3 linked regions of the Callithrix jacchus genome follow. The protein of the gene in region 2 interacts with the protein of the main gene of each other region in a biochemical or structural test. Links are inferred from orthologs where the notes say so. Each region holds a gene or a part of one and is shown on either strand. Other genes may lie near its edges. The genes, in order: LPL, LRP1 and APBB1.

Evidence for each region.
Region 1: the proteins of LRP1 (region 2) and LPL form a complex in vitro, tested with the Homo sapiens proteins (3 studies listed by BioGRID). The link is inferred for Callithrix jacchus from reciprocal best matches to the Homo sapiens genes LRP1 and LPL.
Region 3: the proteins of LRP1 (region 2) and APBB1 form a complex in vitro, tested with the Homo sapiens proteins (2 studies listed by BioGRID and IntAct, with this or other methods). The link is inferred for Callithrix jacchus from reciprocal best matches to the Homo sapiens genes LRP1 and APBB1.

The regions. Positions count from the first base shown.
Region 1 is NC_133514.1:21,538,830-21,545,256, reverse strand, and holds part of LPL (lipoprotein lipase), read left to right. Parts: intron 1-571; coding exon 572-732; intron 733-4,006; coding exon 4,007-4,186; intron 4,187-5,845; coding exon 5,846-5,957; intron 5,958-6,427. UniProt on the Homo sapiens protein: Key enzyme in triglyceride metabolism.
Region 2 is NC_133510.1:62,494,388-62,500,417, forward strand, and holds part of LRP1 (prolow-density lipoprotein receptor-related protein 1), read right to left. Parts: intron 5,666-6,030; coding exon 5,397-5,665; intron 4,506-5,396; coding exon 4,327-4,505; intron 3,875-4,326; coding exon 3,768-3,874; intron 3,502-3,767; coding exon 3,385-3,501; intron 2,930-3,384; coding exon 2,753-2,929; intron 2,592-2,752; coding exon 2,451-2,591; intron 2,313-2,450; coding exon 2,139-2,312; intron 1,906-2,138; coding exon 1,744-1,905; intron 1,471-1,743; coding exon 1,296-1,470; intron 1,165-1,295; coding exon 1,063-1,164; intron 903-1,062; coding exon 838-902; intron 727-837; coding exon 636-726; intron 534-635; coding exon 389-533; intron 238-388; coding exon 97-237; 3' UTR 1-96. UniProt on the Homo sapiens protein: Endocytic receptor involved in endocytosis and in phagocytosis of apoptotic cells. Required for early embryonic development. Involved in cellular lipid homeostasis.
Region 3 is NC_133511.1:72,102,541-72,109,713, reverse strand, and holds the start of APBB1 (amyloid beta precursor protein binding family B member 1), read left to right. Parts: upstream 1-2,440; 5' UTR 2,441-2,549; intron 2,550-7,173. UniProt on the Homo sapiens protein: Transcription coregulator that can have both coactivator and corepressor functions. Adapter protein that forms a transcriptionally active complex with the gamma-secretase-derived amyloid precursor protein (APP) intracellular domain.

The sequences.
Region 1 (6,427 bases), on a different chromosome or scaffold from region 2:
TGCAGTGAGCCAAGATCACATCACTGCACTCCTTTGGCCTGGGCCAGAGAATGAGACTCTGTTTCAAAACAACAGCTACAACAACAAAAATCCACAAATAGTGGAACTATAGCACACAAGATCCATGCATGAGTTGATGTTCTCTAGGAAAGCAAGTTTCGAAGTAGAACTCAGAGACCTGGTTCTGGTCCTCACTCTCCCACTAATAGTAGGATAACTCCAGACAAGTCACTTAAATTCACGTCTTGAGTGAAGATTGAATTAACTAAGTAATCTCCAAATAGCAGTTCACATACTTGAAATCATGAACACACACACCCTGACTGAGGAGAGCTACAGGAGAGGCTGGAAGACTTGTGACAATCTTGGCTCAGAGTTAAGGCTGTCTCTCTGTCAACTTTGATCAACGCTGGGGGATCTGTTCTCTTGAAATCCACATTTGTTTTTGAAAAAACTTCAGAAACAAAAATAGCATCAGCGGTGGTTGCCTCTGAACCTAAAACATACCATTCCAACAAATAACACCAAGCAACTGTCCAGTTAACCTCATATCCAATTTTTTTCTTTACAGGCAGAAGAGATTTTATAGACATTGAAAGCAAATTTGCCCTAAGGACCCCTGAAGACACAGCTGAGGACACTTGCCACCTCATTCCTGGAATAGCAGAGTCTGTGGCTACCTGCCACTTCAATCACAGCAGCAAAACCTTCATGGTGATCCATGGCTGGACGGTAAGGGAGGCTCTTTGTGGAAGACTGGATTGGGGTTGACCAGGTATCCTGATGGGCCTGCCCTAGTTGTTGGGGACCCAGTGATGGGTTCACACCCCATATCTCTCATGGCTCTCCTTTACACTTGAATACGGTTCTGGCTCATGTGGGATCTGAAGCCACAGGTTCATGAGAACTCCCCCTAGGCAGTGCCAGCCTTCATCGTAACACTGTACCTGGTTGGTGTCCTTGAGCCAGAGCTTCCTGGGAGGTGGAAAAATGGTGCTCTGCCCAGCCACAGAGCAGAAGATAGGTGATTGCTGTGGGGAACTGGTGGAATCCTGGCATGATCCTGCATCATCCAGCACATTGCCAGGAGAACCTTTCTAAAGAAGACAGTCTGGAAGAGTGAGGAGAGGGCTGGAGTGGAGTGAGAAAGTATGGGGTCTGTGCTGGCTTTGCCATTCTCCAGCTCTGCACAGTGGGTCAAGTCACTTATCATCTCTGGGCCTCCATTTACTGATCCATAAAGCAGAGACTGTACTAGATATATCTTAGGACACTCTACTTCCAGAACTTTTCAGGTGTAAACTTTAGGGAGCTTTTCTAGAAATTAAACAAAAAGAGCTGGGAAATGCCAGATGATTAGAAAAAGTGAAAGTGTGATTAAATTTACATTTAAAAAATATTGATAAAAGTCTCCTCTCTAAATATGTCACTTTACATATGTAGTCCTTGCTAAGTTTGTTTTAAAATTTTTCAATCCCGAGTAGATTGTTACTTATTTAAAAGGATTTATGTAAAATGGATTGCTAAGGATATATTATCTATGCATTATGTCAGAGCTTGTGAATATTATCATACTAATTTCTAGTGAGAAGAACTAGCTAAAAATAAGATTGATCTAGTCCACATTTCTTTCCCTACATAATTTAAATGCCTTTGTTACTGACTGAAGAGGAAAACTGCTATAATTTTTATAGAGGTGAAGACTGCTACTAACAGAATTCATACTGATGTTTAATAAAGTATACCCATTTACTAGTGTTAACATAGTAAATTCAATATTTTATGATAAAAGCTCAAATTCCTAAACATAAATCCTTTTATATTTTAAAAAGTGTAAGTAGGAAAAAAAAATTTTTTATTGAGATGGAGTCTCACTTGCTTGCCCAGTCTAGAGTGCAGTGGCTGATCTTGGCTCACTGCAACCTCCACCTCCCAGGTTCAAGCGATTCTCCTGCCTTAGCCTCCTGAGTAGCTGGGACTACAGGTGCCTGCCACCACACCTGGCTAATTTTGTATTTTTAGTAGAAGTGGAGTTTCACCCTGTTGGCCAGGCTGGTCTTGAACTCCTGACCTCAAATGATCCACCCACCTCGGCCTCCCAAAGTGTTGGGATTATAGGCATGAGCCACTCTGTCTGGCCCAGAAAAAGGAATCTGTAGAGGCACTTTGGTTATATACAGAACTTGGCTTTGAATACTTTTCAAAAATTTTGAGCTTAATAAACACATTTATACAACAGAAATAAACTGAATGTCTCAGACATCTCAATCTTATCCCTGAGAGACTTGGGAAGTTGTGGAAAAACATATTTGTTTTTTATACTAAGATGACATCACCAACCCAATATCAACAGATGGTGCCACTTCTATCATCGGTCCTACAGCCCCACTAAGCCCACCTGCATCTTTCATATCCTGCGTCCTGACACTTTGAGTGCCTGAGCCCAGAGACTGGTGTCTGGCTGTGGGACTGAGTTGGGTCTGTGCAAGAATTAAGCCAGCCACGCTGATCTTGGCTTATCTCAGTGAACTCACTGGCAGGGTCAGGTGGCCCACCTTGTACAGGTGGCAGGGAGGGCTTCAGTTCAGCTGCGTGTCTGAAAACCAAAGATTTAAAACATAGTAATTACTGAACCTCAGAAGAAAAGCTCAGACTGAAAGGACTTAGAAAATAAAACCCTTTTTGAGTTGCCGAAGGTGAGTACTTAGATTTTTCACTCACTTTGTTTGGGGTTACTTCCATCAGTGTTTTATGTTCATCAGATATAAAGGATTCAATTAGTTGGTGTGCAGTTAATAAAGGTGTCAGCCACTATAGGAGTAAGTCGGATGGCCAGCCCTTTTAGATTGCTTAATGTAGAAACACTGAGCTGGGCACGGTGGCTCACGCCTATAATCCCAGCACTTTGGGAGGCCAAGGCAGGCAGATCACTGGAGTTCCGGAGTTCAAGACCAGCCTGGCCAACATGGTGAAACCCCATCTCTACTAAAAAAAAAAAAATGCAAGAAAATTAGCCAGGTGTGGTGGTGTGTGTGTAGTAGTCCAAGCTACTCAGGAGGTAGAGGCAGGAGAATCACTTGAACCAAGGAGGTGGAGGTTGCAGTGAGTTGAGATTGTGCCATTGCACTCTAGCCTAGGGGAGACAGTGAGCCTCTGCTTCAAAAAAAAAAAAAAAAAAGAAAAGAAAAGAAAAGAAAAAAAGAAACAAATGCTGGTAATACAGAAAAACTTATAACAGGACCTAGAGTTAACCAAGATTTTCTTGCTTTATCTGAAAAAGGCTGCCTGGGGACTCAAGGGCACAGACTAAGGGCGACAAGGAGGCTCTCTAGTTGTGTCACTAGAGACCTGAAAGAACTCTTAGCATGCAGCATGCATGCGATACATTCCAGCCTGCTGCTTAGACACAGCTGTCCTGCAGCTTTGCCACTTGCCTGGATGACACTGGCTTTAAGTACAGGGTTTCCATTGTGAAGTCGGAGACCCTGGCTAAAACAGGGAGCCATGAACATTATATTCTGAAGAAATTACATCTTATCTTGATCCTGAAAGTCAACTACAAAGGGTACCCAATGCCCCAACCTTGAGAAGGTGAGATAGGTAGGGAGGAGAAGGTGAGTGGGGTAGGAGCGATTCCTCAGGGTTCTGTTCCCAGTCAGGAGCTCCTGCTAGTTTCCTCAAAGACCCATTTTGCATTCAGACATATCTTTCCTTCTAATAGTATAAACAATCAAAAGTTTACTGAATGTCTAAAATATACTTTTAAAATGGAAAGCATGGTGAACTCCAATCTGCTGTTCCTCAACTCAACCCATCCCTTCCTGCTGTACTTAGATCTGCTTTGGAAGGGACAGACCTGTATGAACACTCTTCCGGTATTTGATTTTTCTATCTGTGCCAGTGGACTTCCAAGTTTGTTTTTTCCATCTCATGCAGGTGTATTAGGCTGACATATCTATGACAAGTGGTAGGTGGTATTTTAAGAAAACTGTGTCATCGTCTTCAGGTAACAGGAATGTATGAGAGTTGGGTACCAAAACTTGTAGCCGCCCTGTACAAGAGAGAACCAGACTCCAACGTCATCGTGGTGGACTGGCTGTCACGGGCTCAGCAACATTATCCAGTGTCTGCGGGCTACACCAAGCTGGTGGGACAAGATGTGGCCAGGTTTATCAACTGGATGGAGGTAAGACTGGGAGAAGAAGACTTATGTGTCCAAAACAATGTTGTTGACTGGAACCAGACAAATGGCTGTTCTTTCTTCTTTTTCTCTTAGATATAAAGATATAAATATTTTCTAGGGTCAATTCAGAACTTCAGAATGAACATGGGTATTATTTTATAGCCAAAAGCACCATTTTGATAAGAACAGTCTATAAGGACAATAATAGTCCTACAGTGCTCTATTGTTTGATATTTTCATAGTGAATAGATCTGCTGAGATCAAGAACTAAGTGGGCCCAACAGACAAAAGCTTGTGATTTCAGGACAAAGGAAAGATGGTATGTCCCGCCAAATCCTTCCCCACCAGTTGGCTGGCCTGTGGACATTTTATCCTCGCCTTGATATACCAATCTCTTCTATGAAAACATTAGTATTTATTCTTTAGTGTGGAATAAGGATGAATATTTTTTTTTGAGCATTAGAAAGTGATGTAATGGAGCTAGGAAGATGTTGGAAGGGAAGGTGCATAGGATAGAAGGGAACTGAGGTCGAGAGTTCTGACTTAGCTGCAAGAGATCCACTTTTTCAGACCATTCCCTAAAAAGTACCTCTAAAAAGTATGCTGGGAGGCCGGGCGTGGTGGCTCAAGCCTGTAATCCTAGCACTTTGGGAGGCCAAGGCGGGTGGATCACGAGGCCAAGAGATCGAGACCATCCTGGTCAACATGGTGAGACCCCGTCTCTACTAAAAGTACAAAAAATTAGCTGGGCATGGTGGCGCGTACCTGTAATCCCAGCTACTCAGGAGGCTGAGGCAGGAGAATTGCCTGAACCCAGGAGGCGGAGGCTGTGGTGAGCCGAGATCACACCATTGCACTCCAGCCTGGGTAACAGGAGTGAAACTCCGTCTCAAAAAAAAAAAAAAAAAAAAGTATGCTGGGGTTGGAAGGAAGCGAATACTCTGACAGAGGCAAATTATTTTAACCAGGTAGTTGGAAGTAAAAATAAGCTGTATTTATTAGACTGGCCATCAAAGGACAAAAGTTCTTTTCTTGGTTCTTTTGCTGACCAGGCAAATGAACACCGGCAAATGGGATCACCTTTCTGGGGCTCAGGCTTCTCACCAGTTAAATGAGGGGCTGGACCATGTGTCTCTGATCCTTCCTACTGTAATGTTTCCTGAGTCTATCATTGCTTGGCTAACCTTCCGTGATAAAGTGATACAGGTATTTAGAGTAGGGAATGATGGGAAAATACATACCCATATACTACATACACAAACATATACACATACACATACATGCATACAAATGTGTATATGTTTGTACATAGAGTATATGGTTATATATGCAAATGCATACACATATACAAATATGTATAGATATATTACATAATAAATAATGCTATTTCAGATGCTTGGAAAGCCTTTGTAATTTAAATCTGTTATTAAAGAAAGAGAAAATCTATACTGGATTTGTTTATGCAAAAGTGAAAAAAAAAAGAGAAAATTGCAACACTAGGCAATATCTTCTCTCTTACCTGTAACACAAAATTAAAATAAGTAGAATTAGTTTTCAGTATTTCCTATAGTTTGAAAACAATATTTATATTCATTTTGTTTCTTTAAGTTTTGATTTTTGGCAGAACTATAAGGACCTTCGTTTTCTTTTTCTCTTCCAAAGGAGGAATTTAACTACCCTCTGGACAATGTCCATCTCTTGGGATACAGCCTTGGAGCTCATGCTGCTGGCATTGCAGGAAGTCTGACCAATAGAAAAGTCAACAGAATTACTGGTAATTAAGTAATTTCACTGGTCTTATTATAAGAGTGGAGAAGACTGTCATTCTGAGAGAGAATCAGAACAAATTTTCTTAAATCTGCAGTGTTCTTCCAGTAGCTATGCCCAGCACTTGATTATCTCATTGTAGGGCTCTTTATTACAGATAAGAAAACATATAGATGCTCTGACGGGCTTACCGTCCACTGGCAACAGCACTGAAATAAAGCAGAATTACACACAATTCTTGCAGATTTCTCTGGGAAGCATTTTTCCTCAGCTCTCTGTTTTAGTAGTGTAAGGCACATCTGTACTAGGAGACAAGAAAAAGGACCAATATCAAAGCCACTTGGAAAGAATCTATGCAAAGGTGTGGCATCCACACAAAGACGAATAACCCACTTCTGTTTAGACATCTTCTCAACAGATTGAGAAATAATCCACAAAAGGAAATCCAGCCATCCTGAGTGAAAATCACTGTGTAAG
Region 2 (6,030 bases):
CGGGGCCGGGGAGGGGCTTGCTGGGGAGGGGCTCGCTGAAGGACTTCTCTGGAGGGGGCAGGAGGCTCTCTGGGGGGAGTCCGACGGGGCAGGGCCCTATGCCAAGGGGTCCCCTATCTCGTCCTCAGGGCCCCGGCCCAGGAGTTCTCGCTTCTCATCCGTGCTGGCCAAGGAGTGGCGACTGCCGTGGCCGCCCATGTAGAGTGTGGCATACACGGGGTTGGTGAAGTTGGTGGGCTGCAGGGTGACAGGGTTCAGGTGGGGCTCAGCGGCTGGCCTGTGGCCCAAATCACCTCACCCCCTCCTCCGCCCCCTCACCTAACCCAACACCTTTGGTTAGGCCACCTACCGCCTCATGGCCCTCCACCCTGCCTGCCTCCCAGCCCACCTTGTCAGGGTCCAGGGCAAAGTCGGCATCCAGGAGGCCTCCCACGTCATCAGGCTCTCCGCCCTCATACATCTTGTAGGTGGGGTTCCCAATCTCCACGTTCATGGCCCCGTTGGTCATCCGCTGGTGTTGGAAGCCCTTAGCCCTGATGAGAGGTAGGAGGATAAGGAGACAGAGATTATTGGGGGTTGGCATTATTACAGGATGGCAACAATGGCCAGAACGTTCCAGATTGCCTGTGACTCACCCTTGGACTCGCCGCTTATACCAGAATACCACTCCGGCCACCAGAAGCAGCAGCAGCAGCAACAGCAGAGGGATGAGAATGGAGGCCATATCTGGAGGGAAGAGGTGGGATACTGAGTCACCAAGGCTCAGGGAAGCAGGAGGCACACGGTCCCCCTGATCTAGGTTCCGGCGGCCCTGCCTGCCCCACCCCTGCCACCTACGTCCTGGCTGCTGCTGGCTGAAGACATGCTCCTCACACCGGGGCCCTGTCATGTGGGGCGGGCACCTGCAGAAAGGAGGGACATGGCTGAGTAGGCATAACTTCCATAGCCACTGCTGCCAGGGAGACAGGGCATGGAGGGTGGGCGCTGAGGCCCGGCAGTCCTGCTCAGATCTGGGGAAGGGAGGGATGCTCTATGCCTGGGTGAAGCCCAGGCCCAACTCACTGGCACTCAGGCATCATTTTGCTGTTCATGGTGCAGGAGCCGCCATTGCTGCAGTGGCCAACACAGGTGAGACAGCTGGGGGCCACCCGGCCGTCTGTGCAGCTGTAGGAGGAAATCAGAGGCTGGGGCTGGGGCTGGCAGAGGTGTGTGTGGGATGCTGAGGAAGGGCTGGGCAGGACTGGGACAGGGCAGGGGCCGGGCGGGGTGGACCTGTGGAGGAGAGCCCCACTCACTTGCAGGTGACATCCCCACTCTGCTTATTGACAACACAGGCTCCTTCAAGACAGCGGCTGCACTTGTTCACCTCACACCTCGGCCCCTCGAAGTAGGCAGTGCAGCGGCATTGTCGGGAGCCATCGGCGGCCATCTGGCAGGTGCCAAAGTTCTCACAGTAGCCAGAGCACTGCCCTGTGGTTGGCAAGGGAGAGGAAGTCAGGCCCCACCCTCATACGGGTTCTATATACGTTGAGCACAGCTTTTCTCTCTGGATAATCCTGGTGCTGGGGGTGCACTGCATCTTTGTGGGGAAGCGCCAGCCACATGGGCCTGGCTCAGCTGCAAAAGGCCTGCCTTCCTGAACTGGCCCCTGTGGGTCCCAGGCACAGGTGGACCATTACCCCATGCTCTGGGGTCCTCCGTCACCCTCCTGCCTGCCTTGGGGCCCAGGGATGGCTCACTCACGGTACTGGCAGCGGTCGCCCAGGAAGCCAGGTAGGCATCGGCACTGGGGCTGGTTGCCCTGGTTGACGGTGCAGGTGCTGTTGTTGGCACAGTAGCCTGCACACACCTGCTGGGTGCATTTGGGGCCCGTGAAGCCCGTGGGGCACCGGCACGTGGGCATGCCTGGTGGGAGAAAATATGTGAGTGGGACTGTGGCCCTCGGGATCACCTGGCCCTACAGCAGAAGAATGGATTGGACCCGGGCGGGAGGCAGAGTCCGGAGTGCCTGGACGCTGGGTTGTGGAGAGGAGACTAGAGGTGAGGCAGGAGCTGGGCATCTGCCTGAGGTGGGGCAGCGGGTGGTGGGGCTGGGGCCCAGGGGCAAGGAGCAGGCTTGGCGGCATGAGGGGGCATACCAGAGGGGGAGGCAGCGCAGGTGCCCCCATTACGACAGTGCTCCCAGCACTGGTCCAGTTCGCACTTGTCACCTGTGTAGCGGGGCTGGCAGCGGCACTTGGGCTGCCTCCGTGCATTGAGGAAACAGCTGCCGCCGTTGAAACACTGCAGGTTACAGGTTCCAGGCCGGGAAGCTGCAGGATAGGCCAGTCAGGCGGCAGAGCCAGGGGAATAGGAGGGGAGGAATGGGCAACAAGGACAGGAGAAGTCAGGTGCCACAGGAACGAGTGGGTCCTGAGGCACGGCTGGGGACTGGGAGGGCATGAGCGTACCATCTGGGGGGGGTGTTGGAGAGGGCACAGGCATGCAGGTGCCGTTGTCCAGCCGCTTCCCATTGGGACAGGTGCAGACAGGTCCACTGGGGCTCAGCAGGCAGAGCCACTCACATTTCTTGCGGTCACATGGGTTAGTCACTGCAGGTATGGGTGGGGTGGGGAGTATGCTGAGCAGGACCTTTCTCTGAGGCCTGTGAGCCCAGGATTACCCCTCCCCACCAGGTCCCAAGGCCACAGCTTGGAGACTCAATGCCTATAAGCCTCCACTTCCCCAGCTAAGGCTCTCCCTCCACCCCTACCTTCAGGCTGCTTGTGCTGATGGTACAGGACCACGTCAGAGGCATGGCTCAGGGCCCCGGTCAGGTTGACCAAGGGGCTGTGGCCAAACTTATGGATCTTGAAGACACGATTATTGATGTAGGTGACACCATAGATGTAATCCTCAAAGACGTCGATGCTGAAGGGGTGACTTAGGCCTGGGGGAGGAGGTGGAGTCAGAGGGGACCCAAGGGTCACTCAGGCCCTGGCCACGCTGTCCATGACACTGGCACCTGTGGCTCCCAGACACCTCAAACTCAACAAATCCAGACCAAATTCCCCTCCCTGCACCTGTTCCTGCTCCTGTGGTCACCACTGGCAAAAGGTCCCATCACCCCCAGACTTCTGGGGTCATGGCTGACTTCTGTTCCCTCTCCCCTCATTTGCTAAGTTCCTAATGTACCTATGCTGCCTCCACACAACCCAACCAATGAATGGACAAGTAGGCCAGAGGGTCAGGGTGGGCCTCAGGCCTGACTCAGGGGGAGCCCAGCTGGAGAGGCCTGGAAGGTACTACAGTATCAGTGACAAAGGATGGGAGGCATTGAAATGGGGCCTTTGGCTTGGTAGGGAGGATGGCAGGGCTGAGGACAGGCTGCTGTCGGGATCTGACCTCGTTTGCTGTCCGCAGCCACAATGGGGTCCGTGCCATTGAGCCGGATGCTGCCGATGACTGAAAGCTTGGCATCTGCCCAGTATAGCCGCTCATTGTGATAATCCACAGCCAGGCCTGGGAGGCAGAGAGCACTGTGAGGCTTGACCTCCTGTCCCCAGGCTGGGGGTGGAAAGCAGAACTGCCTCTATGCTTGGGACAACTCCACCCTGTTCACACGTCACTCACAGTTGCCTCTTCCGGAAAAGCCGCTGCAGCCTATCCACCCGTCCCAGTCCAAGCCCCATCCTATCCCTCGACTTTGTGTGACTTCAGCAGCAGCTAGGCTCTGTGAGCCGGGCCCCTCCACACCCCTGCCCCTCCCACACTCTGTCCCCACAAACCTGTGGGCCACTGAATGTTGTCCTGCACCAGTGTCTCCCGGAGGGTTCCATCCATCGCCGCCGTCTCAATCTTGGGGTGGTTGCCCCAGTCTGACCAGTACATGGTGCTGGGGAGGGAGAAGGGGTGAGTGTGGGCAGGCCCAGGCGGGACACCAGCTTGCTTGTCTGGGTATAGGGACTACTGGGGACTGGGAGGAGGGCGTTCTGTCCTCCTACAGAGAGGCAGGAGGGAATCTGCATTCCAGCAGGTTGAGGGGCTTTTCCTTTAAAGCTACAGTGTGCTCATTCAGAGCCACAGATGCTGGCACAGCGAGGCTGCTCATGACAACCAGCCAAGCAGAGGTCAGGTCCCGGCCCGAGCAGGCCTAGCTGGGGGCCCCAGGCAGAGGCAGCATGGGGCGGGCCAGGCAGGGGTGGCCAAGAAGGCCCAAGGGCCTGAGAAGGACTGTCCTCAGGCTGGCCTGGGAGGGAAGGGCACGCCTGTGGGTGCAGCCCCCGACTCCGTCCCAGAGGCTTCCTACCACCAGCCCAGAGGCCTCCCTCCAGGGCCCTTGCCCACCCCCTCAGTGGGTCCACCACAATGGCGTGGGGCTCATCAATCATGCCCGAGATGAGCGTCTTGCGGTTCTCGCCCTTCATCTGTGCCACTTCAATCACATCTCGGCCCGAATCGGTCCAATACACGTTCCCGGCCACCCAGTCGATGGCAATGCCTCTGGGCATCTTCAGCCCTGAAATCTGAATGGAAGCCACAGGTTCAGGGACCACCGATTTGTCTTCCCGACATTACCCCCACTACCACTCTGCCAGCCTGTCCCTGCTGGAACGTCACCCCAGGCTCACAGCCAGTTCCCTGGCTTTAAAGAGATTCAACTGGCACGGAGCTTATGTGCAGAACTGCAGCTCTCACAAGTGGCTGGTGAGCCCTCCCTGAAGCCTGAACGATGGCAATGATCATCTGATTTTATTGGTAGACAAAGTGACACCGAAAGACGTTAAATGAGTCAGCTAGGATGTATATGGCGGGTGGTGGCAATGATGGGGGACCGGTGCCAGGGGACTGTCTGCCTGCCCCTCGTGCCCTGGGCTGCCTGCAGCAGAGCCAGCTGCTGACCATTCCCACTGCTCTGTTTTCCCACTGGCCATGCCTGGAACACAATCCTGAGATTGCCCTGCCCCACTCTCACCCTCTGCCCCTCGCACCGACAGCCCTTTCCTATCTTTCTTTCTTTCTTTCTTTCTTTTTTTTTTTTATTGTGATAGCGTCTCTCTCTCTACTGCCCAGGCTGGAGTGCAATGGCGAGATCTTGGCTCAATGCAACCTCCACCTCCTGGGTTCAAGGAATTCTCCTGCCTCAGCCTCCCAAGTATCTGAGACTACAGGCACCTGCCACCATGCCTGGCTAATTTTTTTTTTCTTCTTTCTACACACTCCTGGTAAAGCCTGGCTAATTTTTGTATTTTTAATACAGACGGGGTGTCACCATGTTGCCAGGCTGGTCTCGATTCAGGCTGGGATTACAGGTGTGAACCACCTTGCCCAGCCATCACTGCCCTTTTCAAATCCTGCTCTGAACCGCATGCTCTATGGGGTGCTTCCACTCCATCCACACCAGGTTGGGCACTCACGTTGAGGTGGGTGACACCCCGGTCAATCTGTCGCCGGTGGCGGTTGGAAGTGGTAGGAGGCGCAGCAGGTGGCAGGCTGCGGTAGGAGATGGTGCCCGTGTGCCAGTTGGTCCAATAGACGCGGCCAGCCTTCACATGGACATCCATGGCATCGATGCGGACACTCTCATCACCCTGGAATGCCTGCTCGTAAGCTGAATGGGGGTGCCCAGGGAAAAGGCTACGGATCTCATTGTCATCTGCGATGTACAGGACCTGGTACTCAGAACCTGGAGAAACAAGAGGCCAGGGCTGGGGCTGTGGGATGGAGATGTGCACTGCACCCAGCTCAGCTCCTTTCACACGAGCAGTGTCCTCTCTCCTGGTGGGACCGTCTGCTCTGGCCAGAAGCTGATGCTTACCCTCCCCGCTTGGGGTTTCGGGCTCCCCAGCCACACCTCTGGACCTCCTCCACTCCTCCCCTGAGCTCATCTACTGCAACCTGCTCCTTTCAGCCAGAAAACAGCCTCTGGATGGCATCTGGTACAGACTGCCTGGCACATGCTTGGGGGTGTGTAGGCATGTGGGGTGTGTGTGCTTGACATGGAGCGTGTGGGTGTGCATGGTGGGAGTGTGCGTGTATGGTATGTGTGTG
Region 3 (7,173 bases), on a different chromosome or scaffold from region 2:
AGAGATGGGGTTTCACCATGTTGCCCAGGCTGCTCTTGAACTCCTGACCTCAGTTGATCTGCCTGCCTTGGCCTCCCAAAGTGCTGGGATTACAGTCCTGAGCCACCACACCCAGCCATGCCACACACTTTTAAATAACCAGATTTCACAAGAACTCACTCATCCTGGGGAAGACAGCACCAAGCCATGAGAGATCCACCCCTATGACCTGAAAACCTCCCACCAGGCCCAACCACCAGCATTGGAGATTACAATTCAACATGAGATTTGATCATGGATGAATATCCAAACTATATCAACACCCATACTGACCTTCCTGTACTTCTCCTGCTACTTAGAATACTTTTCTCTTCTCCTTTTTTGATGACCTCTAGCTCCTTCATCCCTTTCTCTCACTGACTTGTCACTTCCTATAAAAGCCTCCTAAACCTCCCAGGACAAATTAAGCCCACTCACATAGCTCCCTGTGTGTAAGCCCACTCACACATCTCCTTCAAGATATTCATCACATTCCTAATTACACATTTAATGTCACTTTCCCCTGTTAAATTTCAAGTTGTTTGAGAGATGGAACTGTATCTTGTTTCTTGACCTGCTGCTAGCACCAAGGACAGTACCTCACACATAGTAATTATTTGATGAAAGAAAACGAATGAATGAATGAATGAGGATACCTTTGTTCTTTTGTGTAATTCTTACTCATCCTTCAAGAACCCAAGTCAGATGTCATCTCCTCCAGGTGAGATGCAGTCAAATCTGATTCATCCGTGGATCCCTAGGGCCTGGCTTGGGACCTGATACATGGTTCATATATCATAGGCATTTGTCAAATCACTATAAACGATTGGCCATGAGTTGATAATTGTTGAAACTGAATGACAGGTATATGAGAATTCATTATATTGTTCTGTCTACTTTAGTATATATTTGAAATTTTCCATAATAAAAAGTTAAAACATTTATATTTACCTCAAAATAAAAGTCTATTCAAAAATGACCTTGAAAGTTCTGGATTGGGAAGTCAGTAGTTGGTGTCATTCATTGGAATGGATGGAGTCCAGTGTGGGATGTGTGTTGTTGTTGTGGGGTGTGTGTGTGTGTGTGTGTGTTGAAGAAGTTTCTTTTTCACCCCAGAGAAACTCCTTAGATGACTAATGAAGGGGGATGTAATAATGAATTCAAGCTAGATGGAGTGGCTGATGCCTGTAATCTCAGCACTTTGCAAGGCTGAGGTGGGAGGATTGCTTGAGCACACGAGTTCTGGACCAGTCTGGAGAACACAGTGAGACCCTATCTCTACTAAAAATGCAAAAAGCCAGGTGCAGTAGAGCGTGCCTATGGTCCAGGTACTCCAGGGGCTGAGGTGGGAGGATCACCTAAGCCCTGGAGGTTGGGACTTCATAAAGCCGTGATCCTGCCACTGTACTTCAGCCTGGGTGATAGAGCGAGACCCTGCCTTGAAAGAAAGAAAAATAAAGAACGAGCGAAGATTTGGACATCTTTAGTTTTAGGCACCTTAGAGGGGGTAGTATTTAGAGGCTTTCTGGATGGTAATGTAACCCCTCATTATCCTTGATGGCCTCTGGTTTACTGATCTGACCACTAGGATGTATTCTATTATCCAAGGAGGGTCTGTAGTAAATGTTGCACCCCACCATCTTTCTTTACATCTTTACACTCTTCATTCACACTCTCCCCTTCCCTGTGAATTTCCACAGGGGAGAAATGTATTCTTGACATTTTCCAGGCCTTGATGTCAGTTTTATGCTCAGCAGCAGGGGTAGTTCAGTGTCAAGAATCACTGAAGCTCCAGTCTGAATTTGTCGCTGTGACTGCGGGCAAGTCGCTTTACCTGTCTTAATCTTAGCATTAGCCTCTGAAAAATGAGGATAAAACTGGTGATTTTACAGGGCCGATGTGAAGATTAATGCGCATCAGCAGTTTAACACAGCCCGACCCGGTGTAAGTGGTCAATAAATAGGAGCTATTATTATCAGCAACGCTGTGTCCTCAGAGCCTCCCCATCAGGACGTCGGGGAGCAGTGCAGCAGGAGCGGAGCAGGCTGCCTCCCCGGAATCCCTCCGGACGCGGCCGCGGTCCCCGCACCGCCACCGCCACCGGGGCTCCAGCTTAGTCCGCGCGTCTGCCCGCGGGGGTGCGGGGCCAGGGCCCTACGGGGCGCGCAGGGTGAGTCTGTGGCATCGTAGTGGAGGACGGCGCCGCGCTAGGCAGGGGTCCCAGGGAAGCGGCTGCAGGGATCTCTGCTGGGAGGGCTGGACCGCGGGGCTCACGGAGGGCAGAGGGTCTCCTGCAGAGCGAGGCCCCCAGGAAGCTGCGGCAAGTACCGCGCCTGCCGAGCTCGCTCCCGCGCCCGCCCCAAGATGGCGCCCCTCCCCCTCCCTCTGCGCGCGCCTCCGCCGCTCGGGGCGCGGCCCCGCCGCCCGCGCGCTCCTGGGCGGGGGATGTTGTGATGGAGAAGCCGCGGCGAAGCCCGAACCCCGCAGCCTGAGCCACCTCCGTCATCTGGGCCCGGGGCCTCGCCGCGCAGGTAGGAGCTGTCCCTGCCCCGGCCCAGCCGGGGTGGCTGCGCCCCGATCCCCAGCGGCCGGTGGACCCTGACGCCTCTTCACCGCAGTAGCCGGGGTCTCCGGGCCGGGCCCCATCCCCCATCCCCGGGCCGCCCTCCCACCGCGCGCCTGTAGACCGTCCTCTCATACCCTCCATCGCATGGTCCCCTCGGGTCCTCACATCGCCCCCTACGCTGTCCTTTACCTCCTGCCCCTCGGGGTGACTAGGGGCGGGTATGGAGGACGCGAAGCGAGGGGCGGTGGGGGTTGGGGGAGGGGAGGCCCAGGGCCGGGAAGGGGACTTGGGGTGGGGTGGGCTGGCCGGACGCTGCTGCCGCCGATTCCAGCAGGGATCCCAGGCCAGATCTGTCAAGCGGCATTCTGTTGCCCTCAGCGACCGAGGGGTGTGCCCTGGGGCGGCTGTGTCCCCAGCTCAGCCAGGGCCTAGCACTGGCAGGAACACTCATTAGGAGCAGTTTTCCCACTGCCAATTCCTAACCTGTTTTGAGTCTGCCTGTGTATCTCTTGCATTCTGAGCCCCTCCCGCTATGGTCCTAGCTCTCGCCACCCTTCAGAGTCTACGCTTGCTGTCTTCATTTCCTTACTTCCCATTCATTCTTAAAATCACTCCACTCTGTGTCCCTGACACCCACTGAAACTGTCCATGGCAAGGTCACTGGAGATCTCCTGGTGGAGAACTCCAGTGGACACTTCGCTGTTATCTTCTTTACCTCTGAATAGTATTCCGTGGGGTCTGTTCTCTCTCCTTGAAGCATTTTCCTGCTTTCTGTCCTGCAGCATTGCCTGCTTTCTCAATCTCATTTGCTTCCTTCTCTCTTTAGATGCTGGCGAGGCTCTTGGCTCTGTCCCGAGCTGTCTTCTTTCATTCTCTGTTCTTTCTCCCCAGATACTTTATTCACTCCCAAAGCTTCAAATTTCATATATATGCTAATGAGTCCCAAATATATGTATCCAGCTCAGACGTCTTTCCTGAAATCCATACTTATATATCCAGCTGCCCTCTTGACATCTCCCTGAAAGACAAACAGGAATTCCAAACCTATAGATTCCAAGTTGAGTTATTGTCCCTGGTTTTCTCTGTACCCTACTTCCAAATCCCTTCTTCCTTCAAATCTCAGAAATGGCTATTTGCCAATCTGGAGTCATGAGCAAGACTCAAGATTAACCCCCTCTCACCTTCTGCATCTCATTTCACTAAGTTCTGTCACATCCACTCCCTAAATATTTCTCAAATCCATTCATTTCACTCTTTTCCCACTGCCACCCAAGTTAATCCCAGCCACCACCTTTTTTTTTCCTTGACTCCTTTAATAGCATACCCTCTTGCCTACCTTCCTTTAACTATTCTCAACACAGCACCCAGAGTGTTGCTTTAAAAAATGCTTCCGGCCGGGCGCGGTGGCTCAAGCCTCTAATCCCAGCACTTTGGGAGGCCGAGGCAGGTGGATCACAAGGTCAAGAGATCAAGACCATCCTGGTCAACATAGTGAAACCCCATCTCTACTAAACATACAAAAAATTAGCTGGGCATGGTGGTGCATGCCTGTAATCCCAGCTACTCAGGAGGCTGAGGCAGGAGAATTGCCTAAACCCAGGAGGCGGAGGTTGCGGTGAGCCAAGATCGCACCATCTCACTCCAGCCTGGGTAACAAGAGCAAAACTCTGTTTCAAAAAAAGAAAAGTGCTTCCAATCACTTATTCATTCAACACATATGATTTGAGCAGCGACTATATGCCAGGCACTGTGTTAGGTCCTGAAGATATAATTGTGAGCAAAAGAGTTGGGTCCTCGGAGCTGACAATCTAGGAGGAAAATCAAATAAGAATAACATTACAAATGTACTAGATACCATGAAGAAAAGCTGTATGGTGCCTTGAGAACATCAAGAGCAGCAGCTAAACTGGTTTTGGGGATAGGGAGAGAGGGTCAAGGATGGCTTCTCTGAGAACACGACTTTTGAACTAAAATAAAATGGATGAGTAGAAGTTAATTCAACTTAGAGAGTAGGAGAAGAGGTCCCAGGCAGCATGGAAATCATGTGCAAACACGTTGTAGAAAGAAACCACATAATGTCTTTGAGGAATCAGAAAGAAGGCCACTGAGGCTGCAGAGCAGAGTGACCAAAGCCAGGAGCAGGGACGAGGAAGGCAGGTGCCAGACTAAGCAGGAAATTTAGGCCACGTTAAGAATTTTGTCTTAAGGGCTGGGTGTGGTGGCTCACATCTGTAATCCCTACACTTTGGGAGTCCAAGGTTGGCGGATCACCTGAGGTTACCAGTTCAAGACCAGTCTGGCCAACATGGCAAAACTCCATCTCTACTGAAAGTAGAAAAAATTAGTCAGGCACGGTGGTGTGTGCCTGTAATCCCAGCTACTCAGGAGGCTGAGGCAGGAGAATTGCTTAAACCCAGAAGGCAGAGGTTGCAGTGAGCTGAGGTCTTGCCATTCCATCTCAAAAAAGAAAAAAAAGAATTTTGTCTTAAGGTCTTTGTCCTTGATGGTAGTGGATGTGGAGAGTCAATGAAGTCTAGAAATTTTTCTTGGAGAGGAAATTATCAGAGGGATGGATTGAACATAGGGAGTGCAGGAGAAGGACATGTCAAGGATGTGCCCCTACTTCAGATTCACGGAATAGGATGGGTTGTATCATTCCATGAGCCAGAATCCTGAAAGAGGATCAGTTAGTGTGTGGGAGTGGGAAACGCCAGTGGGTGTATTAGCTTGAGACATCCAAGTGGGGCTGTTGAATAGAAAGATGAATGTACTTGTCTGGAGCTCAGGTGAGGGGTCTGAAATGGAGATGTGAATTTGGAAATCATCAGTGTATAACTGAAGCCGTGGACGTGAATGAATACCTATATCAATTATAGGATGAGAAAGAGAAAGGGGCATGAGAATATGAGCCAGCAAAGGAGTCTAGGAACCCAGCAAACAGTAATGAGAAGTGTAAAAGTAAGCCAGGAGACGAGAGAGTGGAGGCCACTGAGAGAGATCCGGGGGGTCAGATGCTGCCGGGAGGGCACCCAAGATGAGGACTGTGTCTGTTGGATTGAATGACATAGGGGTCATGTTGACCTTGGTGGGAGCTGTTACTGAGTCGTGTTGGGAGTGGAAGCAGGTTTGGAAAGGGTTGAGGAGTGAGTGGGAGGTGAGGAAGTGGCAGCAGTGAGTGAGACAACTCTCTCAAGAAGTTTGCCCTGTATGGGGGAGGAAAGAGCAGTGAGTGGCTCTGGAGGAGTGTCAGGTTCGGTTGGGAGATAGTGGGTCCTATTGAGAAGGAGAGGTTGATTATAGAGGAGAAAATAGATAAACAGTGGTAAATAATTCCTGGAAAGGCATCTTAGGAAGAATCCAAATTATAGGTGAGGCCGTTGGTTTTTGGGAGAGAAAGGGATAGGTGCTGAAGTTTGGTTGGATTTTATGTTTGAGGATGTTACCCAGTTGGCTGGCTCCTCTGTGAATTAGGAGGGCCCATCCTCTGACAGGGGTGGGCCACAGAGTTGTGTCCTAGTCTCAGGCAGGCCTTCACTGATGTCCGGGCTGTAGTAAACCCCAGGTTCCTATAATGTCCTGCTCTTCGTCCTTCATAATATTCAGTCAACAAATAGGGAATGCTGTGGGTGCCAGGCACTGTTCTAGATGTTGGCATTACACTGTGTCATAACGACTTGTTCAGTGCCTGTTTCCCCCCAAACCGAGAACTCCTCCAGAGGAGGAACCATTTCCACTCTCCCCTGTGTCTAGCACAGTGTCTGGCATATGGTAAGCTGTCAGATTACATGACTCCTGACTGGGCAAGACTCAACCCCTGCCCCTGTGGTCTGATACCAGGATCTTCAGGTTTAGTGGCTACTTCTTTCAGTTCCTGCCCTGGGGCCCCTGCCTAGCTCCCTGCCTTGAATCAGAACTTATTTGGCTCTTTGCATCCTTTGGTAACTCCAATGAGAGGGGAGAAGTTAGGTTGTGTTTCGTTTTTAAAAAATTGGACTGAGGTTATCTTTTTGACCTCGAGCAGTGGGGTATTGGTGACCACACTACCTCAGGCTAGATGCTCAGGTTTCAGCACTTAAACAGAGTTTCCCCAATCCTCCTCTAATACTTCCTGCCCCGGTGACCAGATTGGCGGGGTTGCCCTGCAGTCAACTTGGCTCTTCACTCTTTCAGCCTCACAGCCTATGCACCGTTCTCAGAGCATATCTCCTAGTGCCAAGGAGGTTGGTCTCAGCCCGACCTTTGAGAAACCTGGCTCTCTACACCACTGCTTCAGAGAAGGGCCTGCCATCCTTAAGGTCCTCTGAGCATGGCAGAGTCTTCTACTTCCTGAAACCCATGGAGATGCCACTCTTGAACAGTGTCTGAGCCAAGATGTTGGTTTAAGCTACCGCTCTCCCTCCGTTTTCCTAGATCTCAGCCCTCACCTCTCCAGAACTCCTGTCCCATCTTACTTCCCTTTCAGGGACTCTTTGGCATTCTCTGACACCCTCCCAAACACACTCTTTGCTCCTCCCCAGCCCACTGGGCCACACAGCCTTTCTTGGTACCTATTCCCAGCCAGTTCTGAGCTTCTTAGTTCCTCCCACCCG